Linked DNA regions of Saccharomyces cerevisiae S288C. Changing the gene in region 1 together with any one later gene gives a genetic interaction. Each region holds a gene or a part of one and is shown in the gene's direction. Other genes may lie near its edges.

What was found.
Region 2: mutations in RBP95 (region 1) and AZF1 together harm fitness more than expected from each alone (negative genetic interaction), as found in Saccharomyces cerevisiae (2 studies listed by BioGRID).
Region 3: mutations in RBP95 (region 1) and DIA1 together harm fitness more than expected from each alone (negative genetic interaction), as found in Saccharomyces cerevisiae (2 studies listed by BioGRID).
Region 4: mutations in RBP95 (region 1) and MNN5 together harm fitness more than expected from each alone (negative genetic interaction), as found in Saccharomyces cerevisiae (2 studies listed by BioGRID).

Annotation. Positions count from the first base shown.
Region 1 is NC_001135.5:139,819-147,166, forward strand, and holds RBP95 (RNA-binding ribosome assembly factor RBP95), read left to right. Parts: upstream 1-3,815; coding exon 3,816-4,688; downstream 4,689-7,348. Other genes in the region: POL4 (DNA-directed DNA polymerase IV), read right to left, coding at 1-1,115; CTO1 (Cto1p), read right to left, coding at 1,399-2,352; CWH43 (Cwh43p), read right to left, coding at 4,955-7,348.
Region 2 is NC_001147.6:530,672-537,319, forward strand, and holds AZF1 (Azf1p), read left to right. Parts: upstream 1-3,403; coding exon 3,404-6,148; downstream 6,149-6,648. Other genes in the region: YOR111W (nucleotide diphosphatase), read left to right, coding at 1-456; COPI-interacting protein CEX1, read left to right, coding at 837-3,122. UniProt on the Saccharomyces cerevisiae protein: Transcription factor involved in the diauxic shift. In the presence of glucose, activates carbon and energy metabolism genes, and in te presence of glycerol-lactate, activates genes needed for cell wall maintenance.
Region 3 is NC_001145.3:901,117-908,340, forward strand, and holds DIA1 (Dia1p), read left to right. Parts: upstream 1-3,708; coding exon 3,709-4,719; downstream 4,720-7,224. Other genes in the region: TGL3 (bifunctional triglyceride lipase/lysophosphatidylethanolamine acyltransferase), read right to left, coding at 1-191; PRE5 (proteasome core particle subunit alpha 6), read left to right, coding at 593-1,297; YMR315W (uncharacterized protein), read left to right, coding at 1,684-2,733; YMR315W-A (uncharacterized protein), read left to right, coding at 3,170-3,277; YMR316C-A (uncharacterized protein), read right to left, coding at 4,546-4,857; YMR317W (uncharacterized protein), read left to right, coding at 6,248-7,224. UniProt on the Saccharomyces cerevisiae protein: Involved in regulation of invasive growth.
Region 4 is NC_001142.9:74,158-82,415, forward strand, and holds MNN5 (alpha-1,2-mannosyltransferase MNN5), read left to right. Parts: upstream 1-5,997; coding exon 5,998-7,758; downstream 7,759-8,258. Other genes in the region: 40S ribosomal protein uS11 RPS14B, read left to right, coding at 48-454; 40S ribosomal protein uS8 RPS22A, read right to left, coding at 753-1,145; 60S ribosomal protein eL39 RPL39, read left to right, coding at 1,776-1,781, 2,168-2,317; tyrosine protein kinase SWE1, read right to left, coding at 2,646-5,105; ATG36 (Atg36p), read right to left, coding at 7,938-8,258. UniProt on the Saccharomyces cerevisiae protein: Responsible for addition of first and second mannose residues to the outer chain of core N-linked polysaccharides and to O-linked mannotriose. Implicated in late Golgi modifications.

The DNA of each region.
Region 1 (7,348 bases):
AATAAAAGATCAATGTCACCACACTTGGAATAGCCCCTATTATAACTTCCCTGTAATTCGACTTGGCATTCAGGATCAATGCCACGCAGCGCTTTTTGAACCTTCTTTAAATGTGTGAAACATTCATTCCGAGACATCTTGCATAACCAATCGTCGTAATATGACCAACCAAATAAAATTGTCCAATCTGATACAAACTCCTCTGGGTCCTTCTTAGCTGCAACACAAAAGCTTTCAAAATTTAGAAGATTCCAGCGTTTAGCAATTTCCGACCCAATGCCGTAACAATTTTTGAAGTATTTCAACTTGTCTTCTAATCCCACTGAATCATTTAAACCTGGTAAAACTCCCGTATCTAATATAACTTGTATTTTTTTGGCAATACTAGGCCCGATATTCCTTAATTTAGTATGTGCTTCTTCACCGGAACGAACATTGAAATCGCAATTTTCCATCGACTGTTTAGCCAGTCTATAACTTCTTGCACGAAATTTCTCACCTTCGATCTCATATTTTTTTGTTAACCTTTTCAACGCTCCGATAATCAATTCATTGTTTTTGTACTTCGTTTTGTCAGTAACAAGGGAAGCTCTTCCTTTATCCCCCTGTAAGAGTCGCTTAAGAGGTTTTGAAGCTTGTATCATATCTTTATTGTTGCTGTCATCATTCCTTTCACTTTCTACGTCAGTTGAAATCTCACTCTCTTTATCAGTAGAACTTTGTCCGTCATCAGCGTTATCTGATATAACGATAATGGATGGTTGAAATTTAATCAAATCATCTTTTTGAAACGCAAATTTATCATTCTGGACCCACTTTGTGATGCAACTGGTTTTCACACATTGAATGCCTGACTGTTCAATCTTACCAAGAAATTCATCGACATCATTTAAGCCTGCTTCCCTTTGGAAAATATCTTTCTGAGTCAAATGCATATCAGAATCAACAAAGGAGTCCTCAATCAAAATGACCACTTCCTTACGGCTAGATTGAAGACAATTTTGAATACTTGACACAATTGTGGCGCCCTTTTTCTCCAATATACTCTTAAAGAACTTATTGGAAGATGTGTTAGGATTAGGTAAAAAGGCGAAAAATTTACCCTTTAGAGACATGTGCGATTTGTCTAACAGGTCGCATGTTTATCCTTTACTTATTATCACTGTGACATATAAGTTCTTTGCAAGCCCTTAAAATTATTAGCCCCATGTATTTGAACATCTCAAAGTAATTTTAGACCGAGACCGATTACGGAGATAGAAGAATAGTGCAAGTGAAATACTATTTTATCTTTACTTAAAAAAGAAAAAACAGGAGGAAAATTAGCGGTATTCCATTATTATTAGCACTGCAACGTCCTGGTTATATAAATTTGAATATACAGGATTTCATCCGTTTCTACATTTTTGTTACCTGCATGATCAAATCTTTTAAAGAGTCCCAGGATTTCACAAGGTAGGCACCTTTACCGCCTTCCTTTTCACAAAACTGTAACCACGCTGGACCATTATCAGCTTCAAAACTCGAGATTTTATCCTTTGGGATACCAATAATCTTTTCGGTAATTTTTATGAATTTGGAAGGATTTTCTTGCGGGTTTATTAGCAGTACACCATTAGTAGATGGATGTAATATGGACAACAAGTCAGTCTCACTATCCCCTATATACCAATAGCTGCAAGAATTTCCTTCTTTATTGCAACCTGAGTCGATCTTATCTAATATTTCACCCAGTATCTTGACCTTATCAGAGCCTGTCAATAACCGACAATCAAATTCACCATTGTAGCTTTGAGAACACTTGTCACTAACTTTTTTTAGATCGTTACAAAAAATATGACTATTTTTAAGTCTTCTGTCACCAATGACTTCATGAATAAACTCTTTTGACCAATTTATAGATAAAACGTAAAAATCACTTTCAAAATTTTTGACAACTGAAGAGCAAAACGTTTTGAAACCATCTCTTAGTAAACAATCTTCGTGATTCTGATCTCTGGCGAACGTTTTCATTTGATCCAAAGAAATCGACTTAAAAATCTGTTGTTTTGTAATTTCATTTACACTATTTAACTCAACAACCCTGTTATGATTTTGATATTTTAATTCGTCCGCAAACAACTTATTGAAGTTAGACTGCGAAATTATCGTAGGTACGCCTGAAGATAACAACGGCAGTGATCTCGTTCCATTGTATTTGTATTTATGGTATCCGTCCATATATGTCTTGGTAAAATGACCCCACTCAGGTTTCAACCGCGGGTTCAGTAGATACGGTAATTTAGCAATGGTGCAGATTGTGTCAACTCTTGTGATTGTTTCATCAAAATCTGAAATAATAATGGTTTTCATATCCTCCACTGTTCGCTTCTGGTTACTGCAATTGTTAAATGCATTGGCTCGATTGTCAACATTGCTTTGTGCGAAGAAAGGTCGCTTTTAAAGAAAACGATAAGAACTAACCTCTAACTACATAATAATAAGAAAAAAGTATACAGATAAACAAGCTCAGTAGTAATACATAAAATAAAAAGTTTTGCAAATCGATTGTCCACACACTTCTATATCAATTCCAACTAAGAAAACGAAGGAACCGACTCAAACCGGTGTAAAAGCTAGGCTTTCAATCTCTGCTCCTCCAAACAAAACTAGTGCTTGATATCACATCCAATTAAATTACGTAAATAATTTTAGAGTGACACCATCGTACAAAGAGGGCATTAAGCTTATTTTTTTAATTCTTATGAAAAAAAAAATGTGAAAGAGAGTAGAAAATTTTCATAACGAATCTCTTCTATTCTTATGTACCGTTCCGCCAAATTTTTCATGAAAAAATTTGGGAAAAAGAAAAAAAAAAAAAATAGTATATAAAGTAAAAAAGATGCGCAAGCCCGGAATCGAACCGGGGGCCCAACGATGGCAACGTTGGATTTTACCACTAAACCACTTGCGCTAGTAATCTTGATACATGATTCGAGAAAAGCAACAATATTATGTATACGGAATATACTAGGAGTTCTCTTCAAGGATAGAGGAATCCTCAAAATGGAATCCATATTTCTACATACTAATATTACGATTATCCCTTCTTCTATTTTATATGTTTCATTATCCTATTACATTATCAATCCTTGCACTTCAGCTTCCTCTAACTTCGATGACAGCTTCTCATAACTTATGTCATCATCTTAACACCGTATATGATAATATATTGATAATATAACTATTAGTTGATAGACGATAGTGGATTTCTATTCCAACAAGAACATCCTTGAAAGGTCGACTATTAACATAAGAATAAGAGAGAGTGTGTGGCCGATGCTGTTGCTATAGCTCGGTCGTAGTTTAACACCACGGCATTATTCAGCTTTAAAACAATTGAATTATAAACCTGCTTTTCTTACTACGAAAAGTGTTTCCCTTTAATAAATCTATTGTACATACTTTACAGTTGATAGTACCTTCACCATAAAAATATGCAAACGCTTTTGTTATTGGGAACAGGAATACCAACCGTTCTCATGGAAAATAGCAAAGTGTAAAAGAATTTATTATCATCGAGTGATAAAGAATATCGCCAGATCTTTACGGATATATATCGCTAAAAATATTTGTCGCCAATAAAAGATATGTCTAACGCTCCCTTTGCAGGTAGTTTTTTACTGGCATCGCCTTTTTACTGCAAATTATTGAAAATTTTCGAGCGAGAAAAAGGAACGAAAAGAGATGAGCTAAATTCAAATATCAAAGTACTGTCATAAGTGCTTTCTTTATCGACAAATTACAAGCAGAAGAAACATTCACTTCACAATTAAATGTCCGAAAATCACGTTCCTGCCTGGAAAAGAATTGCTTTGAAGAGACAGACTATAAGCAGTGGTGACGAAAGTAAAGAAAAAGGCCAATCCAATCTAATAGATGATGATCCACTAAATATCACTACGCATTTATCCACTGGTAATTTGACAAAGAAAGAGAAAAAAAGAATCATTAATGGTGAGAGCAAATCCTCTACCAAAAAAGGGAAGCGTGTGTCGAAACCAGGGACGAAGAAGAAGGAAAAATTGTCAAAGGATGAAAAGAATTCGAAAAAAAATAAAATTCTTAAAGATCAATTACGTTACCTGATAGAATTTTTCAGGACAAAGTCTGAGAGCAAGTTTCCCACCGGAATCCTAGAATTGGAAAGTGTAAAAGAAAATTACGGCGACTCCCTGATCAAAGACGAGCCATCAGAGTCTGGTGTTGTTGAAGTTTGGAAATTTTCCAAGCAAAAGCAAAATTGGCTTATTAAGCATTTTTTCAACTTGGACGAAATCCCCTCAGTATATAATGATCTTTTGCTTTTATATTTCAGGGACTTACAAGGTAAATCAAAAGAAGAACTAATATCAAAATGCAAAGGAAAACTGAAGCAATGGAACGACTATGTGGAAGATCAAGAAACAAAAATAAAAGCGTTAATTGCAGAGGATAAGGCTAGCGAACCAATTAATGGTGAAGAAAAAGAAGAAGGTGAAAAAGACGGTAATGCCGAACAAGGGAAGCAAAAAGAGGTACAAGACGAGCAAGAGGAAGTACAAATGCCGAATAAAGAGCTTGTTCAAAGAAGTCTGAAATTACTAGAAATTTGGAAGAATGATGACTCGGAGCAGATAGAACTTAAGAATTTCTTCGTTGATGTTTAACATAGAGTTCAACAACGTTGTTCAGTTGTAGTATATATTTTACTGTGAAATACGCTCAAAAAGTAGCGGGATAAATCGTTTCAGGAAGTATAATTTCTTACAAAACTATAACAAGATCGTCTAAGTAACATACATAAAGAAATCACATAAATTTTTAAAATTCGAGGTCAAAAAAATCAGGTGGATACATAACTTACCTTAAGTTATCAAGATTTTCAGTACACACAATGTGATTACACTGATTTATAAAACCACCTTACGGCCTCTTATAAGTAATAACGTGGCTCATCAAAAACATGGTAGAAGTGACCCCTCTCACCTTCGCCTAAAAACTTATCTGGAAATTTCATGTCCTCATATTCCGGTTCACTCATATGACCGTATTCATACATAGAATCCGAGTGCTCTACTAACGCTTGCTCACTCAAAACTTGGAACTTACCAACTTGTAGCTCCGTATCGGTTATCGTTCCTCTTGCAACTCTAGCATATCCTGTTCTTCTCAAGCCCCTATACAAGATATACTCACACCATCTATCATCGTCAGAAGGATCAATGTCGTGCATTCCGGATGTTTCACTAACGTACGTATTGTAGTTGCCTTCACCTGGATCAACAACTAAGTAACTTAATAAAATAGCTGGGCGAGTCGTATTGCCCATGAGCTTAGCCATGTAGTTACTTTGCAGTCTTCTATCCTCTTCATCCTCTTCTTGTCCACTATGGAATACAAAGACGTCAACGAGAGTGTCATTGTACGTTTGAAGTGTGGCATGAATGGCTGGCGCAAGTTCCCCAACTGGAGAGGGCAATAAATGATGCGTAGAATTTACGATAGGGAATTTAGAAAGAAGAACACAGCCCCAGGTATGTTTATTTGGACCTGGTCCGAAATCTGCATACATATTCAAATCATGAGCTAGTTTGCTAGTTAGATCCCTGTTCCCCATGGTAATTCTTTGTGTATCTGTTTCTAGTAGACCTACCACATCTAGTTCCATATCTTTAATAAGGTTGATCATTCTGTCTTCAGATGCCCACATATCATTATCGAGACCAAAGTGGATAGTCCAAATACCAGCTGTAATCAACTGAGAATCTGGATGATAAGGCTGAGGAATTCCTGTAGGTCTAATATCATACACGAACCTAGCTGTTAGTGATAGCAGGGCCACGGCAAAGAAGAAAACATAAATGAAGAATTTTTTGCCCATAGTCACCAGTTGAATGTTAAGGTTTTTGCATGTTAAAGCACCAATAATGATAAATGTGGAAGAAAAGGCAAGAACCGTCTCAATCTTCTCCCTCAGTACCCAGCCCATTGGAACAAATGCGTATGCAACGACCCAAACATGGGCAAGGACAAAGATAATATAAACGGAGAATGATAGGACATAAACCCATATGTTTTGAACTTGGCCTAATGCAGAAAAATACGAAGGAACTAACCAAAGCATAGCGATAGCGTACAATAAACCACCGAAAATATATTTAGGCCATTGTGTAATGCTTCTAGCTGAAAGTACAGCAGTGGATATGAGAAGCAACAAACATGGAACTAATGGCTTGCCCATAAACTTCACAGAACTCAAAGAAGCAAATAACATGACCGTACAAGTTAAGGCGCCCCAAGGCCATGGCAAGGGACCGTGTGATTCATTGTAACCTTCCCATGCCCAATAAATAGTAGTAGAAGAATCCGTCAATAACTGATGAATTCCGAATAACAACGAGCCAAAACCAACAGCCAAAAATAATTTGCCAATCAACGAAGCAGATTTTGCTTGAGCATTCCTTTTCCCTTCGAAATTAATTGAATTAACATAAGGCGACAGCATGCCGAATAAAACAGTAAGCACGAGAGCTGTCTTATTATACCCACCATTACGTTCATCTAAAATGACCCAAGTTGGATTGTTGGTATAGAACCCCATTTTCAAGATCACAGATGCAACAAGACCTAACAGCCAAGTTAGAGCAAAAGAGAAACTAGTCTCCGCATTTGTGATATATCTTAGATTTTGTACAAACGTTGCAACGGTAATGGAAGTTCCCACAGCTACAGAAATCAACCTTAATTCTGGCATCTGAACAATATAGGCACCAATGGCAATAATACCTCCTAAAAGTACACCATATTGCGTGAAGGCTTCAGAAACGAACGGCAGATATAAGAAAATGGGTCCCAAATAACCCAATATTGCAGCTTCATAACCTGAGATTCCCATATACCATAGCGGGAAATGCCAAATACTACATAACAGGGACGTAACGTTCGACCAGAAAAGAAAACCGTTAAAAATATTTGTTAGTAAGTAAAAAAAAGAGTCAAACCTGAAATATGAACCAGTTGCGCTTCTAGCAACGGGTTTTTCCTTTTCAACCTTCTTTTCACCACTTTTCTGCAATTCTGAACTTTTTTCTTCTCCATAATTTATGGGACTAGAGTCTCTAATTTGGAAAAAACTGGTATTACCGGGTTTCTCATTAAAAGCGAGAACAATATCTATCTTTTTGAAATCAGCGTAAGCAAATGCATCAAATGCAATATCTAAAAGAATCAGAGACCATTCGAAATAAGCATATATAGAATATGCCCCAGCTCTCTGTTGGACGGAGTGCTGAATGTACCAGTAAATCATCGGGAACAATGTTCCAAA
Region 2 (6,648 bases), on another chromosome or scaffold:
TTGACAGATTACGAAGATGAAAACCCAAATGAAATTGATAAACCTAAGCTTATCATATGTGCAGACACAATTATTATAGATAAGAGTGGGAGAATCTACGAGAAGCCTAAAACAAAAGAGGTCCAAAAGAAGTTTTTAATGAAGTTTTGCTATGAAGATGATGAACCAGTTAACGTTGTCACCGCTGTGACTTTAATTAAATGGTACGGCAGAGAAAACTTTGAATTGGTACCATTCCGAGATGAAACCAAGGTATACTTTGATAACAAAATACCTTTGAGAATATTGGAAGAATATGTAGAAAGCGGAGATGGGCTGGAGGTTGGCGGTGGATTTAAAATACAAGGGCAAGGTGCTATTCTAATTGAAAAAATTGAAGGTGATTACTATAACGTAGTTGGTTTACCGCTCAATAAAACGTTCAAAGGACTCTATGCTGAGGCTAATTCCATATAACCTTCGTTTAGGTTTTCTTTGGTGTTGCTCAGTTAACTATGTTAATCTTTGCAACACCAGAAGAATGAGTGGAACGGATATTAAAGGCCACATTGGTGAATAGATACATGCGCTAAATAACACGGCTATTAACATTCTACGAGACAGTTTTTCGATTGATGGTAAAGAAAGTTTAAAGCAATACGCATTTTGAATTTCACGCTTTCGCGCACATCTTCTATTTTTTTCACCTTCAAAAAGGCCCTTTCTCTTTGTCTGTTTATATTATGATTATATTAAATATAAGTATCTTAAAAACAATAATATCGTCAAGTTATTTAGTCGAGAGTTTGACACTGTTACTATCGTTGCTTTTATTGGTGAACAAGTATCTGTAAGTGATGAATTTTTCCAGCATTTTCAAATCTATTTCGAATTTCCAGTTCCCATACACCATAGAGGAAACTGCAATCACTGAAACCGCCCTTTGGCAATGTTTCGATGGTACAAGGAAGGCAGATTCCTTGCCAGTAACAGTTTTTAAGGCAAAAAGATCTCCAGAAAATGAATCTTTAATTTTAAATGCTGTACACAAGAGCAAAATTTTGAAGATTCCAGGACTTTGTACGGTGCTGGAGACATTTGATTCCGACCCCCAATCCACATTTATTGTTACCGAACGAGTAGTTCCATTTCCTTGGGATAATCTAGGCTCTTTATCTCAAAACAAATTTGGTGTTGAATTAGGAATATCACAATTATTGGCAACTTTAGGATTTTTAAAAAACTTTGTCCTTGGTACGCTTTCTAAAGATTCTGTTTTTATCAATATTAAGGGAGAGTGGGTACTATTTGGGCTAGAACTTTGTTCAAGCAAAGAAGGATTAAGTGCGTTTGAATTTGCCAGTAGAGCGAGGTCATATTACAACATAATTGGCTCACAGTTGCCCTGTGAAGATCCGAATACAATTGATTCAATGGGGTTAGGATTGTTGATAAAGAGCCTTATGGCTCCTTCTTGTCTGCCCAAAGATTGGATTGTCAATGTAAATATGATTTCAGATGGAAAGATAACAATCGAAAACTTCAGAAAAAGGCTAGAAAATACAGAAACTTGGCGTTCTAATCCTTTGATAAACTTTTATCAAGAATTGAGGGAGTTGCATATAAAGGACCCACAGGGAAAATTGGTTGTGATGTCAAACTTGGAAAATTTGTATTTAGAGTCAAGAGAGATTTTCCGTAATTTAACGCCTGGAATGATAGAAAATTTTATTATTCCAGAGCTTTGTGAAATTATAAAATTATTAATGACACAAAGCATCAGTAGTGCTGCCAGCCCTATAGGCATGAACTTCAACGCATCACATAAACTAGTACCATTCTTAGCGATTGTTTTAGACCTAACTTCTGAAACGAACACCTTTCCAGTTGGTTTCAACGACCTTATCACCCAAAGTTTTAAACTGCCAGATAGGCAAGTAAGATTTCTTTTACTAATATACCTACCCAAATTAATAGGTCCATTGAGCAAATCAGAGATCTCCAGTAGGATATATCCACATTTTATCCAAGGTCTGACCGACTCTGATGCCACTCTTAGATTACAAACACTGAAGACAATTCCATGCATTGTGTCATGTTTAACAGAGAGACAACTGAATAATGAGCTACTGAGGTTTCTCGCAAAAACACAGGTTGATTCTGACGTTGAAATCCGAACATGGACAGTCATCATAATAAGTAAAATCTCAACCATATTATCAACGTCAGTTGGTAATCGCTCGAATATTTTAGCTACGGCGTTCACAAAATCTTTGAAAGATCCTCAAGTAAAACCAAGATTGGCTGCTCTTTATGGGCTTGAGAAGTCGATTGAGCTGTTTGATGTGAACACAATCGCCAACAAAATTTTAACAGTCATTGCCCCTGGTTTATTAGATAAAAGTCCCATAGTAAGAGGCAGAGCCAAAATCCTGTTCGAAGAATATCTGGAAAAATTGGAAAAAGAAGCCCAACTTATTCAAACAAACGATAGTACTGCAGATTCGGAAGATGTGAAAGATATTGATTTTGAGAATTACGGTTGTGATGAAGAGGATATGAATAAAGAAGACAATTTGTTAGCCGCACAATTTTTAAATAATTTACGTTTAAATTCTCCCTCAGCAACAACACCAAGTAACATTACCGAGAGCGAAATTGATTCCGCCCAGGATGGAAGTGGATGGGACGACCTCAGCGATACCGATGGCTTTATTACAAATGGTACCACAGAATCCTTCGATGAAACAACAAACCCTGTAACAACCGCAAGCACCCCAAAATTATTCGGAAAACCTATTAAAATTAATAAAAGTTGGAATGATGAGTTGAATGATGATGGCTGGATTCAAGATGAAAGCGGCCCATCAAAGGTGCCTCAAAAACACACAAGGCCACAAAATTCAACGTTGGCAAAATCCATCGCTCCTAGCTCAAGGCTTTCTATCAAGAAGAAGAAAACAACGATCCTAGCACCAAGAAACATTGCTAGTAACTCTACTGTTACCACCAAATCGTCACTGTCCAATAAAACTGCAAGAAGTAAGCCTATAAGTAGTATCCGCGGCTCGGTAACCAAGAAAGGAAATGTTGACGGCTGGGATGATGATGGGGATTCAGACTCCTGGGATACGAATTGGTGATCCCAAGACTTATATAGCCCTACGTATTGTAGAAGGATATATTCAGTGTTAATCGTTATTTAGAAACATTACGCCCGTGCCCCGCGATTTCGCTTCTTTGAGAAGTGGAGGAAAAGAAGGGTCCCTTTAATTCCAGTAGAAATGAAGCATAAGCAAGAAGAGTCATCAGAAAAGGGAACCTTGTAGTACTATAGATGGTCCCACAGAGAAATTAATTGGGACAAAAACAGCTACACAAGCGATATACTTCAAAAGATTCAGATATTGAAAAATTACCAGCCATGCCTCCTCCAACTGCACAGTTCATGGGCCCTACGCAGGCGGGACAAAATGAAAGCCAAAATCAATCATCAGGCGAAGCTGGGGAGCAAAACCAGGAGCATGGGCAAGGCCCTACTCCTATTCTTAATCAAAGTCAACCGGCTTCTTCTCAACCGCAACATCAACAACAAAGGAATGAGTCGATTTCATATTATACAAATTTCAACCAGCCACGATATTCCACGGACGCCTCTATCAACTCATTCTTGAACATATCTGATAACGTACCAGTAACAAGTACAGGAGGACCTAGTTCTGGCGGCGCCTATTCCAATCTTCCACGATTATCCACTTCAAGTACACATCAACCGCCAGACCTGTCGCAAATCGGACGCGGCTTTTCCATTGTAAACAACCTCTTCCCACAACAACAGCAGCTTCAAAATCAGCATCGGCAACAGCAGCAACAACAACAACAGCAGTCGCACCAGCAGCCTCCCTTCAAGACCCCTTCATTTTCGACGGGATTAACGGGAAGTTCTTCTCAATATCAATTTTTACCAAGAAATGATAATACTTCGCAGCCACCTTCAAAAAGAAACTCTGTTTATCTTGGACCTAATGATGGGCCTGATTTTGAATTTTTCAGTATGCAGCAGTCACAGCAACCGCAGTTCCAGCCTAGCAGTAGAAGAGAATCAAACTCTATGAGACCTCCACTGTTAATACCTGCAGCAACTACTAAAAGCCAGTCCAATGGCACCAATAATAGTGGGAATATGAACACAAATGCAGATTATGAATCATTTTTTAATACTGGTACAAACAACAGTAATTCTAATCAGAACCCGTACTTTTTGAGTTCAAGAAATAATTCTTTGAAGTTTAATCCTGAAGATTTCGATTTTCAATTCAAAAGGCGGAATTCTTTTGTTAGAGGTACTTTGGACCATAGCAGCCAAAATGCGTTTATACCTGAATCAAGATTAAACTCACTATCCGTTAACAACAAAGCTAATGGTGATCCTGTCGCGGATAATGTTACCAATAACATGAAAGGAAAAAGTAATGAAGTTGACAATGATGATGGCAATGACAGTAGCAATAACAATAACAACAACAACAACAACAACAACAATGAAAACAACAATGACAACAATAATGATAATAACGACAATAGTATTAATTCCGCCACCAGTACTAATATCCCAAACCAAGAGGACCATAGCCTTGCTTCTACCGATACCACAAGCAATAGTAGGAAAGATCTAAAAGAAATAGAACAAAGACTTCGAAAACATTTGAATGATGAGGATAATTACTCTAGTGCTATATCAAGACCATTGGATAAAAACGACGTAATTGAAGGCAGTGAGGGATTGAACAAACATATAGACGAGTCTGGTATGCAACCTAATATTATCAAGAAAAGGAAAAAGGATGATTCTACTGTGTACGTCAAGAATGAGATGCCCCGTACTGATCCCCCGATGAGTAAAGACAATTCTACTTCTGCTGAAGGAGCAGCAATGGCAAACTTTTCTGGTAAAGAACCTCCTATACCTGACATAAGTTCAGTAAGTGATGATGCTACTAACCTGATAGGTGCAACAAAGGTCGACCAACTAATGTTGATTATTCAAGCAAGAAAGAAAGGTTTCACGGAGAAAGTAAATACCACTCAAGATGGAGACTTACTGTTTAACCAAACGATGGACATTTTACCACCTAAAAGCGAACTAGTAGGTGGTGTGGAGAAACCAAAAGGCACACAAAATACACGAGCAGTTAAAAAACATGAATGTCCCTATTGTCATCGGCTTTTTTCGCAAGCGACTCATCTGGAGGTTCACGTTCGTTCTCATATAGGGTACAAACCATTCGTTTGTGATTATTGTGGCAAACGTTTTACTCAGGGTGGGAACTTAAGAACTCATGAACGACTACACACAGGTGAAAAACCGTATTCATGTGATATTTGTGATAAAAAATTTTCTAGGAAAGGGAACTTAGCTGCTCACTTGGTTACTCACCAAAAATTGAAACCATTTGTTTGCAAGCTTGAAAACTGCAACAAGACCTTCACTCAACTAGGAAATATGAAGGCCCATCAAAATAGATTTCATAAGGAAACATTAAATGCCTTAACGGCAAAATTAGCTGAGATGAATCCATCTGAGAATATTCCACTTGAAGAGCGGCAACTTTTGGAGTACTTTGCGTCCATTTATAAAAATTCAAACAGGGGAATTAAAGGTAGAGGAAAAGGTGTAGGAACCAAAAAATCAACAATTTCCTCACCAGAAAACCATCCTGCGAGCACAATTTTGAATCCAAATACAAATGCAAATAATGCTATTGCTAATGATTCTGAAAATAACGGCAACCCTGAAGGTAACATTGACAGCAGTAGTAACAGCAATCCGGGCTCACATAGTATGATTTCGCCGACGCAAAAAGACATGGGTACGTTGCAATCACAATTTATCCAAAATAATTTTAACAATTCTGTGAACAGTTCGAATCCGTCCAACCAACCAATCATAAACTACAATTACACCACACTTCCTCATTCTAGATTAGGAAGTAGTAGTTCCAGCAATACCAACAATAATAACAGCAACTTTTCGGTAGGTGCAGCTCCGGGTGTATTAATGGCGCCAACCACCAATAATGACTTCAGTTTCAACTTGGATCAATCTAATGATAATGAAAGATCTCAACAAGAACAAGTGAGATTTAAGAACATTAATTACAAAAGCTAGCAGGCCTTAGAGGCACTACCTTTTTTTTTTTTTCGAGTTTCTACACCGTAGTATCTGATTTCATAGTGGTATTCGTCAAACTTAACCCACAAGTGTCACTTTTCCTTTCTTTTTTTCTTTTTCTTGAAGAACTGCATGGTTTTCTAGCTCTTTTTCACTTTTTTGAGGTTTTATTTATCTTGTATTCTTTTTTTCTATTATTTTAAAGGTTCAATTTCTATCGACGGTTTTTTTAATTATATATATATATATATATATATATGTATATAATGAATGTGTAATATTCCAAGTATACGTACCTTGGGTTTATATTTTTTAACTTGTATATTCTTTTACGATAAAATTTCTTCCAATTAACATCCCAGGCCTTGCTTCAATTTATCAATTGGTATATTAACTTTCAACACATTTTGTTTTTGTTTTTATTTTTGTTTTTTTTATTTTTTTTTTTTTTTCGCGTTTCGTGCTTTAATGAAACATGTGAAGTGTTTCGCAATGAC
Region 3 (7,224 bases), on another chromosome or scaffold:
CTTGAGTGTGGCCGCACATAGTTAATCAGCTTTTGAACCCAGAAGAAATAAATATCGGTGATGACATGTAGAATTTCCCACACAAAAGGAGGTATATGGTCCAATGTGGCATACACTACACGCAGTATCCAGTTTTTCAAAAGGGTCGGTATTACAGCAGACACCTTGTATTCCTGCGCCGTTTCCTTCATGCTTAACGGCAACTCAAAGATGTGATATATGAATAGATGATTCCCTTACTATTGTGTCATAGTACTTCTCTATGTAATCAGTACTAATTTCTATTAGCTGCTACCCAGAAAAAAAAAAACATAAGAAAAAAAGGGTTAGGGTTGAATTTTCAGACCTAGGATAAGTATCTCCGAAATTACTAAAAACCTAGTATTTATTAAAATGCCCTACTAAAAAAGTAAAAATGACCTATAAAGAACATACCCTATTATAGAGTGGCAAAATTAAAAATTCAAAAGTATCGTCAAAGTATGGAAAAGAACCAAGACGCCACTACATTTAGGTAGACGTGGTGATCAATTGAAGTTCAAGAGAAGTGGGTAAGAATACATTGAACTAAGCCTTCATATATTTACAAAACATGTTCAGGAACAATTACGACGGGGACACAGTCACTTTTTCTCCTACAGGCCGTCTGTTCCAAGTGGAATACGCCTTGGAAGCTATTAAACAAGGGAGCGTCACTGTGGGGTTACGTTCGAACACTCATGCTGTTTTAGTAGCGTTGAAAAGAAATGCAGACGAATTGTCATCATACCAGAAAAAAATCATCAAATGTGACGAGCACATGGGGCTCTCGTTAGCCGGGTTGGCTCCAGATGCTAGAGTTTTAAGTAATTATTTGAGACAACAGTGTAATTACTCCAGCTTAGTTTTTAACAGAAAGCTTGCCGTCGAGAGAGCAGGTCATTTGCTTTGCGATAAAGCACAGAAAAATACACAATCCTATGGGGGCAGACCCTACGGTGTTGGTTTGTTGATCATCGGGTATGACAAGAGCGGTGCTCATCTTTTAGAATTCCAACCTTCCGGAAATGTCACAGAACTATATGGTACAGCTATTGGCGCAAGAAGCCAAGGGGCAAAGACTTATCTAGAGAGAACTTTAGACACGTTTATAAAAATTGACGGGAACCCGGATGAACTAATCAAAGCTGGCGTCGAGGCTATCAGCCAGTCTCTAAGGGACGAATCCTTGACTGTAGACAATCTTTCAATCGCCATCGTGGGTAAGGATACGCCTTTTACAATTTACGATGGAGAAGCTGTTGCTAAATACATCTAGGTCTGGACACAAAGTATCGTTTCCACTAAGCAATTGTCAAAGCAAGACCAAAGAAGCCTTTCACCACGGTCGGGGTTTTTTTACATATAAAGATAATAATAGATTAACTTAGTACGTAGTCTCACTTCTCATTCAAAATTAAAAAAGACGTGGCTTCCAAATCAACTAATAACCCCGCTTAATTCCGCCCTCCGCCGGGGAATAAACGGAGTTATCCCCTGTTGAAAATTCAGCATGATTATGTATCACAATACATAGGTGTTCGTCTATAAAAAGAACTACTTATTCTGGATAAACTTTCGAACTCGCTCAAACCTATTTGTTTCTGTACATCGAATAGACCCATAATCACTTCTTGGTTCCAAAAAGTAAAGTAATAGCCAAAAATGTCCCCATTGAACGTCGGTATAGTTGGTACAGGTATTTTTGCCAGAGATAGACATCTCCCATCCTACCAGGAATTTCCTGACAAATTCAAAGTCATTGCCGCCTTCAACAGACATAAGGCAAAAGCTTTGGATTTTGCAAAGGTTGCTGACATACCTGAAAATAAGGTTTACGACAATCTAGATGAAATTTTGAATGACCCTCATGTCGACTACATTGACGCTTTGCTACCTGCTCAATTTAATGCTGATATTGTCGAGAAGGCAGTTAAAGCAGGTAAGCCAGTTATTTTGGAAAAACCAATTGCGGCCAACTTAGACCAAGCAAAGGAGATTGTCAAGATAGCAGAATCCACCCCATTGCCCGTTGGTGTGGCTGAAAATTGGTTATATTTACCATGTATTAAAATCGCAAAGGAGCAGATCGAGAAAATTGGTCCTGTAGTAGCATTCACCCACAATTCTACCGGTCCATTTGTTACTCAAAATAAATATTTGACCACAACCTGGAGACAAAAACCAGAGCACATTGGCGGATTTCTATCTGATGGTGGTGTCCACCAATTAGCTCTCGTTATTTCCCTACTCGGTGAATTTGGATCTGTTTCTGCATTAACGAGACAGGTGCGTGAACGTTCCGGTGCAGATGATATTGTCTTTGCTACTGTCCAGTTGAAAAATAAAGAGGTTATCGGAAGTTTTACTTATGGGTCTGCCTTTGGTGCTACCGAAAAGTCGGTTTTCTTGAAAGTCTATGGTAAGAATGGTACCGTTACCGTTGACTTATCAGACAAAAAAGACCCCGTTGTAAAAGTCAAATTAGGGGGTTCAGCTGAAGATAACGGTGACGAACAAATTTTTAAAGTCGATAATGATGAAAGTTTCGGCGTCAACGCTGAATTTTTGAATTTTCACGAAGCTGTCAGCAAGAAGGACAAATCCTTATACCTAGGCACACCCAGAACTGCATTTCACCATTTGGCTTGTGTGGACGCGTTTTTAAAATCTTCTGCCAAGAATGGTGACTACGTTAAAATTGAGCAGCCATGATTACCGTTTTACGATGTAACGCTTTTTTAACCTTAATAGATAGATTCCCTCATATATTTATAACTATGTACCCACATAAGTATACTTTTGGAATGATAATACTAACGAGATAAAAAACCGTTGAAAAATTTCTAAGTTTTCTTGAACTAAAAATAGCCAAAATTCTCCATCCACTTGTTGTTGCAAAATGTTACGAAGGCGAGGTTCTTGGAAATCTGGATGATTATGGGAAAATTCGTTCAACAAGAACGCCGAGCCTGGACGAAATACTTAGTCGGCATGGAACTAGTTATGAATGACTTTTCCTATATAAGATCTACAACCGTTTCCAATTCACCATGAGATATATATATGTTTAACGAATCAGGTACTCGTCCGAAGCATTTCGAGTAATGCAACCCCACAAGTGTCCCCCAAGAATTCACTGGGATTTTTGATGACCGAAAGAAAGCTATTGCAGCTGCTACGGCGTCCTTTCATCTCCCTTTCTTTATTCACGGCCTTAAGAGCTTGTCCGCTTCGCCCCAAAAGCCTAATTGCTTAGAGCATGAGAGTTGAAAACGACCAGAAGTGTCGTTTTAGGTAAGCATTCGGCCATAATGAACAGTAAGTTTGTCCGAAAAATACACCGCTAGGGTTCGATAACGAAGAGCGCATATCAATTGCGTTGTCGACTTAATTGCTCTCTTAGTACAACGGTATGTGTCAGTGATAAAATCCTACCGGTTCCACTTTTTGTGAGCGATAGATGACGGAACGTATGCGCCTATTTCTTTTTTTTGGCGCAGCAAGGGACAATGGTCCCTTTTTGAGAAAATGTTGTAGGCTTGGCCATCGGCGTGAACGCATATAAAAAGAAGACTGCCAACATGACAGTATTTGAAACAACTACAGATTTGGCAAAGTTCGCCAAGATAAAGAAGACCGAAGCAGGTGCTAAGCTTCCATTAAAAGTTTTTCAAGAAAAATCTGATTATGGGTTCAATAAGTAGATACCTTCTTAAGAAAGCAGCAGATGGGCTTAAAGATGAGCAGAGATTGAAGATTGAAATGTCCGATAGCAAAAGTGTCCCAGAGTGCTTTCATTTTAATAGGGAAAGAAGAATGCCCATAGCCGAGATAAACGGCGAGGATGGGTTTTTCATGTTTCCGTCTCAGCAATCGCTTGAAAATTTTGAAAACACTAAAAAGTATTCGAATGAGCTGAGTCCAGATGCAATTGGTATTCCATTATTCCAAATTATCAATTGCACTCTACCGTTTGGTAAAAGAGGTCATAGCAATACTGTGGTCGGCAATGTCCCATATTATAAAATTTTCAAATTTATTTTAAGAACGGCAGACGAACCTCCGCCTTATACTGTGGCAAAAATCGTTTGCTCAAACAACGGATTAATATTGTATAAAGTGCCTCTTTACGACATATATAAAAATGTCAGCCAAGCAAACGTAACTTACAGCTTCGTAGGGACTACGTCTACGGAGCCCAACTTACTAGCAATGGCTCACCGAGAAGGACACAGGGATTTGGACACTAAAGTGAATAATTTAAATCTCAGGTGGCATGTCACTTATTCGCCCGTAGTTACCAACGATCATTATAAATTAATTCTGTTAGCAGATTATGAAGTGAATCGTTTGGATGAAGATGTCATTAGAGCCGCTAAAAATAAGATGTCCATCGACCAAAAGGATCAAAAAGTTCAGAGGTTCGTGGCAGCTCATTATACTAGAGAATTTGAAACATCTCTTTTTAGGTGGGTCGCTCAAGAGGGCCACTTAATTCTTGGCGAGTATTCCACAGATCAAGGATCATTTGGATTGAATAATATCCCACCATTGACGGAAGAACTCGGGTGTCAGAGCCTGCTCATACATTACATAGAGTACATGAAGAGACAACGTAAAAAAATTGCGAAAGAGGCAAGGAGACAAAATAAAAGAAACGTTGCAAACACGACTAACATGAACATGAACCTCATGTAACAAAAGTTTGCGTATAATAAACCAGTATAGATGTGTAACTGTAATTTTTAACTTATCACAAGCTCGTTCCCTTCCTGCGTTGAAAAAGCGGGACAATGCCAGAATATAAAAAAAAGAAGAAACTTTAAACCCTGTCATATCTTGTCCGAGATCTCGTCGTTCTTGTTTAATTGATCTTCTTCGTATACTGCCAAAGGTGCCAAGGCACAAAAAAGTTTAAAGTGGCACGGGCTATTGCGTCACATAAAGCCCGTAGCGCAAAAAAGTGATAGCTGACTTCATTAGATCACCAAAATGGAAAAAACTTCGTGAAGATTTCTTTTTATCTTCCTCACAGTTTTTAACTTCCGGGTGTTATACTCTCCGTTTGAAAAGTTGATTTTGTTAACTTTCCTCTTTCCTTTTGGAGTAAAAACAATATCCTCGATAGGCAAGACCTTCCTGCACCGCTATGGCGGCCATTTTGATTTTTCTTTACTGTGGGAAGCAAGAACTTGTTCAGGCGCCTTCCTGGATAAGCCATCTTTTTTCAAACAGTTTCTTCTATACGATAGGAAAGTCGTTGGCCAATCGATTAATTAATTGAACAATAGGAGCCAAATAAGCAGGATATCTTCTTTCGTATACCGCCTGCCTCATTATTCAGAACAAACACGAGTGATCTGACACTATGAAGTTAGCAGTAATCCTTTCTAAGAGAGGTGGCCCAAAATTCGAATAAAATTAACTTTCCTTACCATTTAGCCTCTATCAAAAAGGTTCTAAAAAGTAATATCACACAGCCGAGCCTAGGACGTCACCTCTTTCCTACACAGTTGACATTACTTATGTACTCAAAAGGACGTATGTACCAAGGAAAGCATAGTTTTTATTCAAATCGAGTTTTTTATTCTTATATCCTGCTTAAAAGTGGTGATTAATGAGGAAAAAATGACAGCAAGAATGAAATAGTATGTAATTTCTTTAGATTTAGCGGTGCCCGTGCCTTCCACGCGCAACTGTTCTCTCTAATTTACTATTCGCTTTGAACGTAAAATGTGCTTTAGTTTCCCAGATGTAGCTCAAGTATTATACCATCTTTTGCACCTACTTTACTAAATTCATCTCAGGTATAATTGTATCGCATATTCTATTTTTTTTGACATTTAATGCAAAATTGTGTACCTTTCGTTAAGGCGAATTTTCTGGACCATGCGCAGATCTGATCCAAAATAAACTTTTTTTCATGAAGCTCGTTTGCGATCATTGCCTGTGAATTTAGCGAAGGTGTCAGTCCACGGCGACTTAGAACTCACGTAAAAATAAGCATCTTGCTAAGACTGTTCAGCAGTCAACAGTAAAGTTCTGAAAACATGTTTTCTTAGTCTCTATCTTTGCCCATGTTCCTCTCAAGTGGAACAAAGCTAAAAATGAAATATTAATTTTATATAAAGTCTCACTCACACCTGTGGTAATTTTGTTCCCTCAGATTTGTCAATGATTCTGTCATAGAAAAGGTATCCACAAGAAAGGGTAGCGCCGTATCAAAATGGGTTCATCTGGTTCAAAATCGACCACAGCCACTACCACATCGCATAGTAGCACGACTACTACTAGTAGCACAACCAGTACAACTACGCCTACTACCACTAGCACGACAAGCACGACAAGCACTAAAGTTACAACTAGCCCAGAAATTATTGTCAGTAGTTCTAGCACATTAGTTTCTTCTGTTGTACCCGAGTTTACTTCTAGCTCGTCGCTCTCCTCTGATACAATTGCCTCAATTCTATCATCGGAGTCATTGGTTTCCATTTTTTCTTCTCTTTCTTACACATCATCCGATATTTCTAGTACATCAGTCAACGATGTCGAATCATCAACCTCTGGCCCCTCAAACTCATACAGTGCGCTTTCCTCCACAAATGCACAACTGTCCAGCTCCACTACAGAGACTGACTCCATAAGTAGTAGTGCTATTCAAACATCTTCCCCGCAAACCAGTTCATCAAATGGAGGTGGTTCCTCTTCGGAGCCATTGGGAAAGTCCTCTGTCCTTGAAACTACTGCTTCATCTTCTGATACAACTGCAGTCACATCCTCCACATTTACCACGCTTACTGACGTTTCATCTTCTCCAAAGATAAGTTCCTCAGGATCGGCTGTCACTTCAGTTGGTACTACTTCCGATGCCTCAAAGGAAGTTTTTAGTTCAAGCACGTCCGATGTTTCTTCCCTACTATCAAGTACTTCCAGCCCCGCAAGCTCTACTATTTCTGAAACCCTACCATTTTCCTCTACAATTTTATCCATCACTTCCAGCCCAGTAAGTTCAGAAGCTCCATCGGCAACGTCTAGCGTAATTAGTTCAGAAGCTTCATGGGCAACGTCTAGCTCAGTGAGCTCGGAAGCTCCATTGGCAACGTCTAGCGTAGTGAGTTCAGAAGCTCCATCGTCAACGTCTAGCGTAGTGAGTTCAGAAGCTCCATCGTCAACATCTAGCTCAGTGAGTTCCGAAATTTCGTC
Region 4 (8,258 bases), on another chromosome or scaffold:
AAGCAGAAGTTCTGTTTACTAACAACTATACCTCTTATCATGTATAGACCTTGTTCAAGCTCGCGATAACTCTCAAGTCTTTGGTGTTGCCAGAATCTACGCCTCCTTTAACGATACCTTTGTACATGTTACCGATTTATCTGGTAAGGAAACTATCGCCAGAGTTACTGGTGGTATGAAAGTCAAGGCCGACAGAGACGAATCATCTCCATACGCTGCTATGTTGGCTGCCCAAGATGTTGCCGCTAAGTGTAAGGAAGTCGGTATCACTGCCGTTCACGTTAAGATCAGAGCTACTGGTGGTACCAGAACCAAGACCCCAGGACCAGGTGGTCAAGCCGCTTTGAGAGCTTTGGCCAGATCTGGTTTGAGGATTGGCCGTATCGAAGACGTTACTCCAGTCCCATCAGACTCCACCAGAAAGAAGGGTGGTAGAAGAGGTAGAAGATTATGATTTCTTTTTTTTTTACTCTATTAACGCATGGAAATACGGCTTTACCTTCTCACATAAATATAGTTTGTTTAATTAATAAAGCCAATATAAACATTTGCATATTCGACTTCGTGCATGCAGAAATGCGGCAGATAAATTCATTTCTGTCTAATCTTTTGAACAGTTTTAAAGTACAAATATATTAGTATTTAACAGGAAAACTAAAAAAATGTATAATAAGAAATGAGTAAAGTTATGAGGCTATCTTGTGTTTATTATAGTATATAAAGCTACCGAAAAGGTTGTTGTAACAAGTAGCTTAGTAAACGAAACCCAAAATCTTACCAGAAACGTGCTTTCTTCTGGCTTCTTCATGGTCCATGATACCAGCAGAGGTGGTCAAGATGACGTAACCGAATTGTCTGGCTGGCAACAAGTTGGCAGTCCATTTTTCAATGTCACCAATCTTAACGTTGAATCTTGGGGAAATAACACCACACTTGTTCAATCTACCGTTCAATTGAACAACAATCTTACCAGATCTGTGGTCATCGATGTATTCAAATTCACCAATGTAACCGTGCTTTTGCATAACTTGCAAAAACTTGATAATGACCTTGGAGGATGGTCTGATTAAAACTTGACGCTTACCGGTCTTTTCAGCGTTGTTAATGGCATTCAAAGCATCAGCTAAAACGGAAGATCTGGTCATCTTGGATATGTATGTTGGTCTTGTTTTATAAAAAATACTAGAACTGAAAGGCCATTAAAAAACCTTACAATTTAAGAATTGAATAGTCGATTAAGATTATTTAGATTGAAATTGACTAACTGCAAACCCATATTCAAGAATTATTTCACATCTTCCAGCGAGTAAACATGCCGCTGGTAATCGCGCGTCCTCAATATTTGAGTTTTTCAAATAGTGAGGTGTGGATGTATAGAGGAATTACACACTTTTAAGTATGTGATGTATGGGCGCACAGTACCAATTTAACTTTTTTTTTTTTTCATTTTTTAGCTTGATTTTCAAAAAACTTATGGGCGTTTTAGGCTCCGGCTCAAACTACCACCACCACGCGGCAGGCCGAGGCAAACAGTACGCCTTGGCGGGGACGCCGAAGCGACTCCTTCTGTTCCAAGCTCAATGGTCCTTGCGTTTACGCTCGCGCGTGGGCTAACTAACGCAATTCGGCTTTTGGGCTGTCGAGAACCGAGAATTATTCTTCGCCTTGATAGATACTTTAAAACTTCTACTTAATATACTTTCTACAATTTTTGGTACATTCATATTATACTGAAAATTCGAAAAAGACAAGCAAATAAACACAGATAGATCAACATGGCTGTATGTTAGAAAGATATTATAAATCCCAGTTAGATGCTGAACTGATCAATAGCAAATTATAAACCACATCCATCTAAATGACCTTACCACCTACAATTTGGATTTGAAATAGAAGCAATGTGTAAAATATAGGGAAAGGATTAGGAGTGTTAACCATACTAAAATTTTTCTTATCCGAAACAGAAATCTAAAGTCGCCACTACGCAGATTAAAATATGGTCATAAACTGCTTATTCTGAGAACTTTTGGTGGTCCAGCGTGGTTTATGTCAGGTGGTATTGCCTTGGATCCGTGAATGCATCACATTGATGAGTTTGAACATTGTTACTAACATTTTTTACAATTGTACACTTCGTATGTGCACGATATGTTTCCCTTTTAATTAGGCTCAAAAGTCTTTCAGAATCAAGCAAAAAATGGCTAAGGCTAAGAAGCAAAACAGACCATTGCCACAATGGATCAGATTGAGAACCAACAACACTATCCGTTACAACGCTAAGAGAAGAAACTGGAGAAGAACCAAGATGAACATCTAAGCGAAGAACATATTTATGCTTCAAACTTTTTGTCATTTGTCTTCCATCCTTCCCTTATTCTCAATATATATGTAATACGTCGTATTTGATATATATATATATATATATATAATATAATTTAACGGTTGTTATCTGCTACATCTGTAAAATAAAAATAAAAATGCTTGAAGCGGCTGTACTTAAAATAAACTCATCTAAGGTTTTACATGGTATTACTACCGGACTGCAATTACACTCTTTTTCGTTATTGGATTATTTATACAATGCGGCCCATAAGCACGTGTGGGAAAAAAGTATGTAAATAAAACAAGGTTTTTTGTTCCATTTATCATATAAAAAATTTTGGCTTAGGTCCAAAGTCGTCTTCCTGGATAATAGCACCTGCATTGCGTGTCATTTCTACATACAGGCATTCCTCAGTTTGTAAGATTTGATTTGCCGTGGGCCTTCTCTCATAATTGGGCTCTATCATCCATCGTACTATTCTCTCAAGTGATTCACCATCAATAAGAAATTTCGGTACCCATGCGGGAATTTTAGAACTTTTATGCAAAATAAGACGATTCTTGGTAGCGGCAGTATTGACATTATTATTATCGTTGCCATTATTCATATTAGGGTTGTTGATATTACTATTGTTATGAACAGTGGAGGTGCCAGCGTTGTTACTATTACCACTGATATTGTCTCTTTCAAAATCAAATAAATCATTTGTATCTACTTTCGTAATGTCTGAAAATAATGATTCAGAATGAATATCTGTGGAACTTAATCTTCCTGCATCCGATAAATCACCCGATCTCAACTTATGCCATGCGTTGCCATTGTCAGGTAACACAACGTTCGCTGCAATTTCAACAATCATCAGACCCAGGGAAAAAATATCTGCCTTGTAATCGTACGTACAATCAGAAATGATTTCTGGTGCAATATATTCTCTGTCACCTTCATTTTCAAAACTTTTATCCTCCAACGGTAAATGAGTAGCCATTCCAAAGTCACCTAGTTTTAGGTTACCTTCAAATGTGATCATGACGTTTGCGGGTTTCAAGTCCAGATGCACAATGTGACAAGAATCATGGATGAATCGTAAAGCCAGGCTTAATTCCACGATGATTTTCCAAATTCTCCAATCTTCCAACCTTTTTTTCTTTGCGATAACTTGCTCTTGTAAAAATCCATCCAAATTACCATTTTCGCACAATTCTGTCATAATATAGTATGAATTTTGAAACTTCCAGGAACTGATGTAATCGATGATGTATTCCTTCCCTTCTTGATCCATTGTAATTTGGTTTGTTACCTCGTTTAGTATTTTAATTTCCAGTAATATGCGTTTCAAGGAATTATATTTGTTTGGTTTAATGGCTTTGATTGCATACTTTTTGTTTGTTTGGGCAAACGTAACCTGGTAGACCGTGGAAAACTGGCCTTTACCAATGGAATGCACATTCGTAAATTTTTCGAAAAGATGGGAATCTGGATTTGCTGATAACTTATTTGAAGAGATTAGACGCCTTTTGGAATTTAACGGCGAAGAATCGGTGGAAGATATGGAATGCGTCTCTGCACTTGTTGTGTTTGTCACGATGGCAGAGGAGAGTGACAATGGTCTGCTTTCTCTATGTGTTTGAGATGTTGCCCCAATAATAGATTTTCGTCTTGTTGGAGTGGAGATCTCTTCGTCAGTGTCATTGTCATAGCGTCCACGAAATTGATAAGGTTGAGGGTTCTTTCTAGTTGAATGATGACTTGATATTATGATTGGAGGTGGGAAATTCTCGTCCGTGCCGTATAAATCATCTTTGAATTGTTGTAAACTGTTTGTTAGCTCTCTATTTTTCAAAATAACCGAATTCCTTGCTCTTTTGATTTTTTTGAACTTGTTAGAATGCAATGTTTGTGGAGAGCTGTTGGTAACCAAGCTATTAGTGGGAGACAGGATGTTTGTCTGGTTATTGTGACGATCATGTGCATGATATTTTGCCTCGCTCAGTGGGGATGAGTCTATGGTTGGTACATGGATGGAAGGTAAAGCTTTCGAAGACGGAGAATCTGAAAATAAAAGGTCTTCTTGTAAATTATTGTCTTCAACAAAATTTAAAGGGGAAACACTTAGAGAAGACGATGCATTTTTCGAACTCGAAAGGTGGACATGCTTATGGTCTCTTCCCTCCACTAAGGGTGATTTTTTCACTGGTGTTTCTGGTATCCTCAATTTCGCAGGGTATAACGAAGTGTCCATAGACATTTTAGATACGAGGCCCGAAGACGTAAAGGCTGATTGGTTAGGTTTAGCGACGCTATATGAAGAGGATGAGGATGTATTTTCAGTGCGAGCATCATTTTTCGGAAACCATCGCTGGTTCCATTGTTTGAGAGAAATAGGACTGTTCGTTTTTTCCGCAGATCTTTTTGTAATAGGAGTAGTAACACTTTCATTTTCATGGAACGGAGACCACCTTTTAATACGAGAATCCACGCTTTCCTCATCCTTGCCTTCTTCCTCCTCTTCTTCCTCTTCTTCAATTTTCCCAAGAAATTTGGAGTTAGCCTCTGACAAAGCTGTATTACTTAATGACAGGTTCAAGGTCCCCGTACTTCTTGTCAATTTGTTGTTCGAATATGGATAAAATTTCAGTTTATTGGTCGGGGTGCTACCCCCTATAGCAAAATCATCACTCTCGTCTTCGCCGGCCTGTTTGCCAAACATCTTCTTCCCCATAAACTGGAGGTTCTCCGTGTCCAGCATTTCGAAGTCCTCTTCATCCTCGTCCAAAGAACTCATCTGTTCTCGTGTGCGCCTGTGTGTGTTTACTTTTCCCCAGCACTACGCAATCAAAAATAGTAAGACCTGTTCAGTAGTAATCCTTTTTTTATTGGACTAACTGCGCAAGATGATGTGCAGGATAGTTAACACACGCATACATACAAAAAAGAGCCTCTTGGACAACCTTTACTTAATACACAGGGGCACGCCAATGTTCAACTGTGTTGTTGATTTCTTATCCAGCATTCTTTTACTTCTCTGCATTTTTTTCGCGTCGCGTCGCAAATTGTGATGGTTAAAAGAAAAATGAAAAAATATTTTTCGCGTCGTTATCACCCGGAGGAATAAAAAAAAGAAACATACACATCACGTGACCACAAGAATGTTAGAAAGGCTTACCAGTACTAGAGACGTTAATAAATTGCGAATAGCCCCCTATCTCCCACATGTTGGCATCTGTGAGGTGGAACCTATTTAAAGGTGCCACATTTCTTTCCTTAGAGGACGATGGTTGCAAGATCAGCACAAATCCATAGTTTGATGCATGGAAAGCGAAGCACTCTAACAGAAGTAAGATAATAAACAATCTCACGATTCTACTGATTTAAGTGCAACTAGCTCTTGGGCTTCTTTTGGTTGCCAAGTCGGAATAGACGACAGATGCATGTTTCGGTGCAGAGTTCAGAGAGATAAGTGCCTTCTTTTATCTTTTTCCCCGTTCTTGCGGATTTTTTTTTTCACTTTCTCATCGGCGGGGAAAAAAAAGTGTAACAACTAAAGGATCAACACGGCTTTAAAGTGTTTTATATATACGCAGATATGAAAAAAGCATTTTCACGGTTATTGGAAATTTTTATTTTACGACTGGTTCCTAGCACAACAAGAGGATATACTAATAGTTCAGGTTACAATGCTGATTAGGTTAAAGAAGAGAAAAATCCTGCAGGTCATCGTGAGCGCAGTAGTGCTAATTTTATTTTTTTGTTCTGTGCATAATGATGTGTCTTCTAGTTGGTTATACGGTAAAAAGCTTAGATTGCCGGTTCTAACAAGGTCGAACCTTAAAAACAATTTTTACACAACACTGGTACAAGCCATCGTGGAAAACAAGCCGGCAGATTCGTCTCCGGACTTGAGTAAGTTGCATGGGGCGGAAGGGTGTAGCTTTGCAAATAACGTTGCTGCACACGACTCTGGACACGATAGTGACTTAAGTTACGAGAGCTTGAGTAAATGCTATAATTTGAATAAAACAGTACAAGAAAGCCTACGAGAAGTGCACAGTAAGTTTACAGACACCTTATCAGGGAAACTGAATTTTTCCATCCCACAAAGAGAGGCACTTTTCTCAGGTTCTGAGGGCATTGTCACCATTGGAGGTGGAAAGTATTCTGTGCTCGCGTATACGATGATCAAAAAGTTGAGGGACACGGGTACTACATTGCCTATTGAAGTCATCATTCCGCCTCAGGACGAAGGCGAGGATGATTTTTGTAAGAACTGGTTGCCGAAATTCAATGGTAAGTGCATTTATTTCTCAGATATCGTTCCTTCAAAGCCATTAAGCGATTTAAAACTCACGCACTTCCAGTTGAAAGTCTTTGGGTTGATAATTTCCAGTTTCAAGCGTATTATCTTCTTGGACGCAGATAACTATGCGGTGAAAAACCTTGACCTTGCTTTTAACACTACATCCTTCAACGATACTGGCCTGATATTGTGGCCCGATTTTTGGAGACGTGTCACCCCTCCCGCCTTTTACAACATTATAGGATCTAGCATTAACATCGGCAAAAGAGTCCGTTTTGTTAGTGACGATATTTCCCCCGTGTCACGTTATGATCCATTTGTTAGTAACTCAAACGATTACACTCCAAAGGAGAGACAGGAGCATTTCCTGAAACATGTTCCCTTACATGATCTGGACGGCACGATGCCAGACTTGAGCTCTGAATCAGGCCAGATGGTGATTGATAAGATTCGCCATTTCAACACTCTATTACTGGCGCTATACTATAATGTTTATGGGCCTACCTGGTATTATAAGATGATTTCTCAAGGCACTGCCGGTGAAGGTGACAAAGACACTTTCGTCGCTGCTGCCCATGCCTTGAATATGCCATACTATCAAGTGAGGACTAACTTTGAATTTGATGGTTTCTTCTATCAAAAAGATGATTACAAGGGTCTCGCCTTGCTCCAGCATGATTTTGAACAAGATTACAAGCAATACCAAAAGGCGCAGCAGAAAGTTAAAGCCAACATTGAGGAATTTTCCAAACTGGATCCAGATTATACTTTGGACAATGGTTTCTTGAAAACTTTGATGGTTAATGATGACGGTTCTGATTTGGATATCATGTTCATTCATGCCAGTTTCTACAAGGCAGATCCATGGACTCTTTATCATGAAAACAGATTTATCGGTCCAAATGGCGAACAAGTACGGGGCTTCAGGAAGCCGCATCGCTATGGAATGGATTTTGAATTGTTTTTATTCAATGATATGAGGGGGTCCTTCTGTACCACTCCGAAAAGCCAAGTTATTAAATTCAAGTATTTTACCGATAAAGTTAATACCCCAGAATGGGATGCAATGTGTGAGTATTTGACCAATCATGTTAATTATCTGGAGAGCACACACAAAGAAGCTATGGGGGAGAAAAACTAATGAAGTGATTAACTATAATAATTTAATAATAACTCGCCATCCGACCTTGTATAATATAATGTAGCATATATGTGCACGGATATATATACATCTTAGAAAAAAATGAAAAAATGAAACCAAGAAAAAACTAACTGATGGTGTTCGGACAACGTTTTAGAATGAGGGTATCTAACTTTCTTCTACCATTCTCTGTCCAAAAACCTAGAAAGTAAAGTCCAGCCAAACCAAGATGTGTTTTCCAACGACGAAGACGCTGCGCTTGGTGAACGGTTTAATGTTTCTCCAGTGCTCTCATCTGTAAATCGTGACCGCGATGACGAATCTATATCTACGTCTGACAACCTGTCGAATTCAAGAGGCATCGAGTAGTAATTGAAAATAAAGTCACGCTGGGGGAAAAAAGATGGTATATCGTCAAATATTCTTTCATGATGGTATGTCAATAATTGCCGGCGAGTTTTCTCGCGGTAGCATGTTCTTAGAATTGGATACAAGTCTCT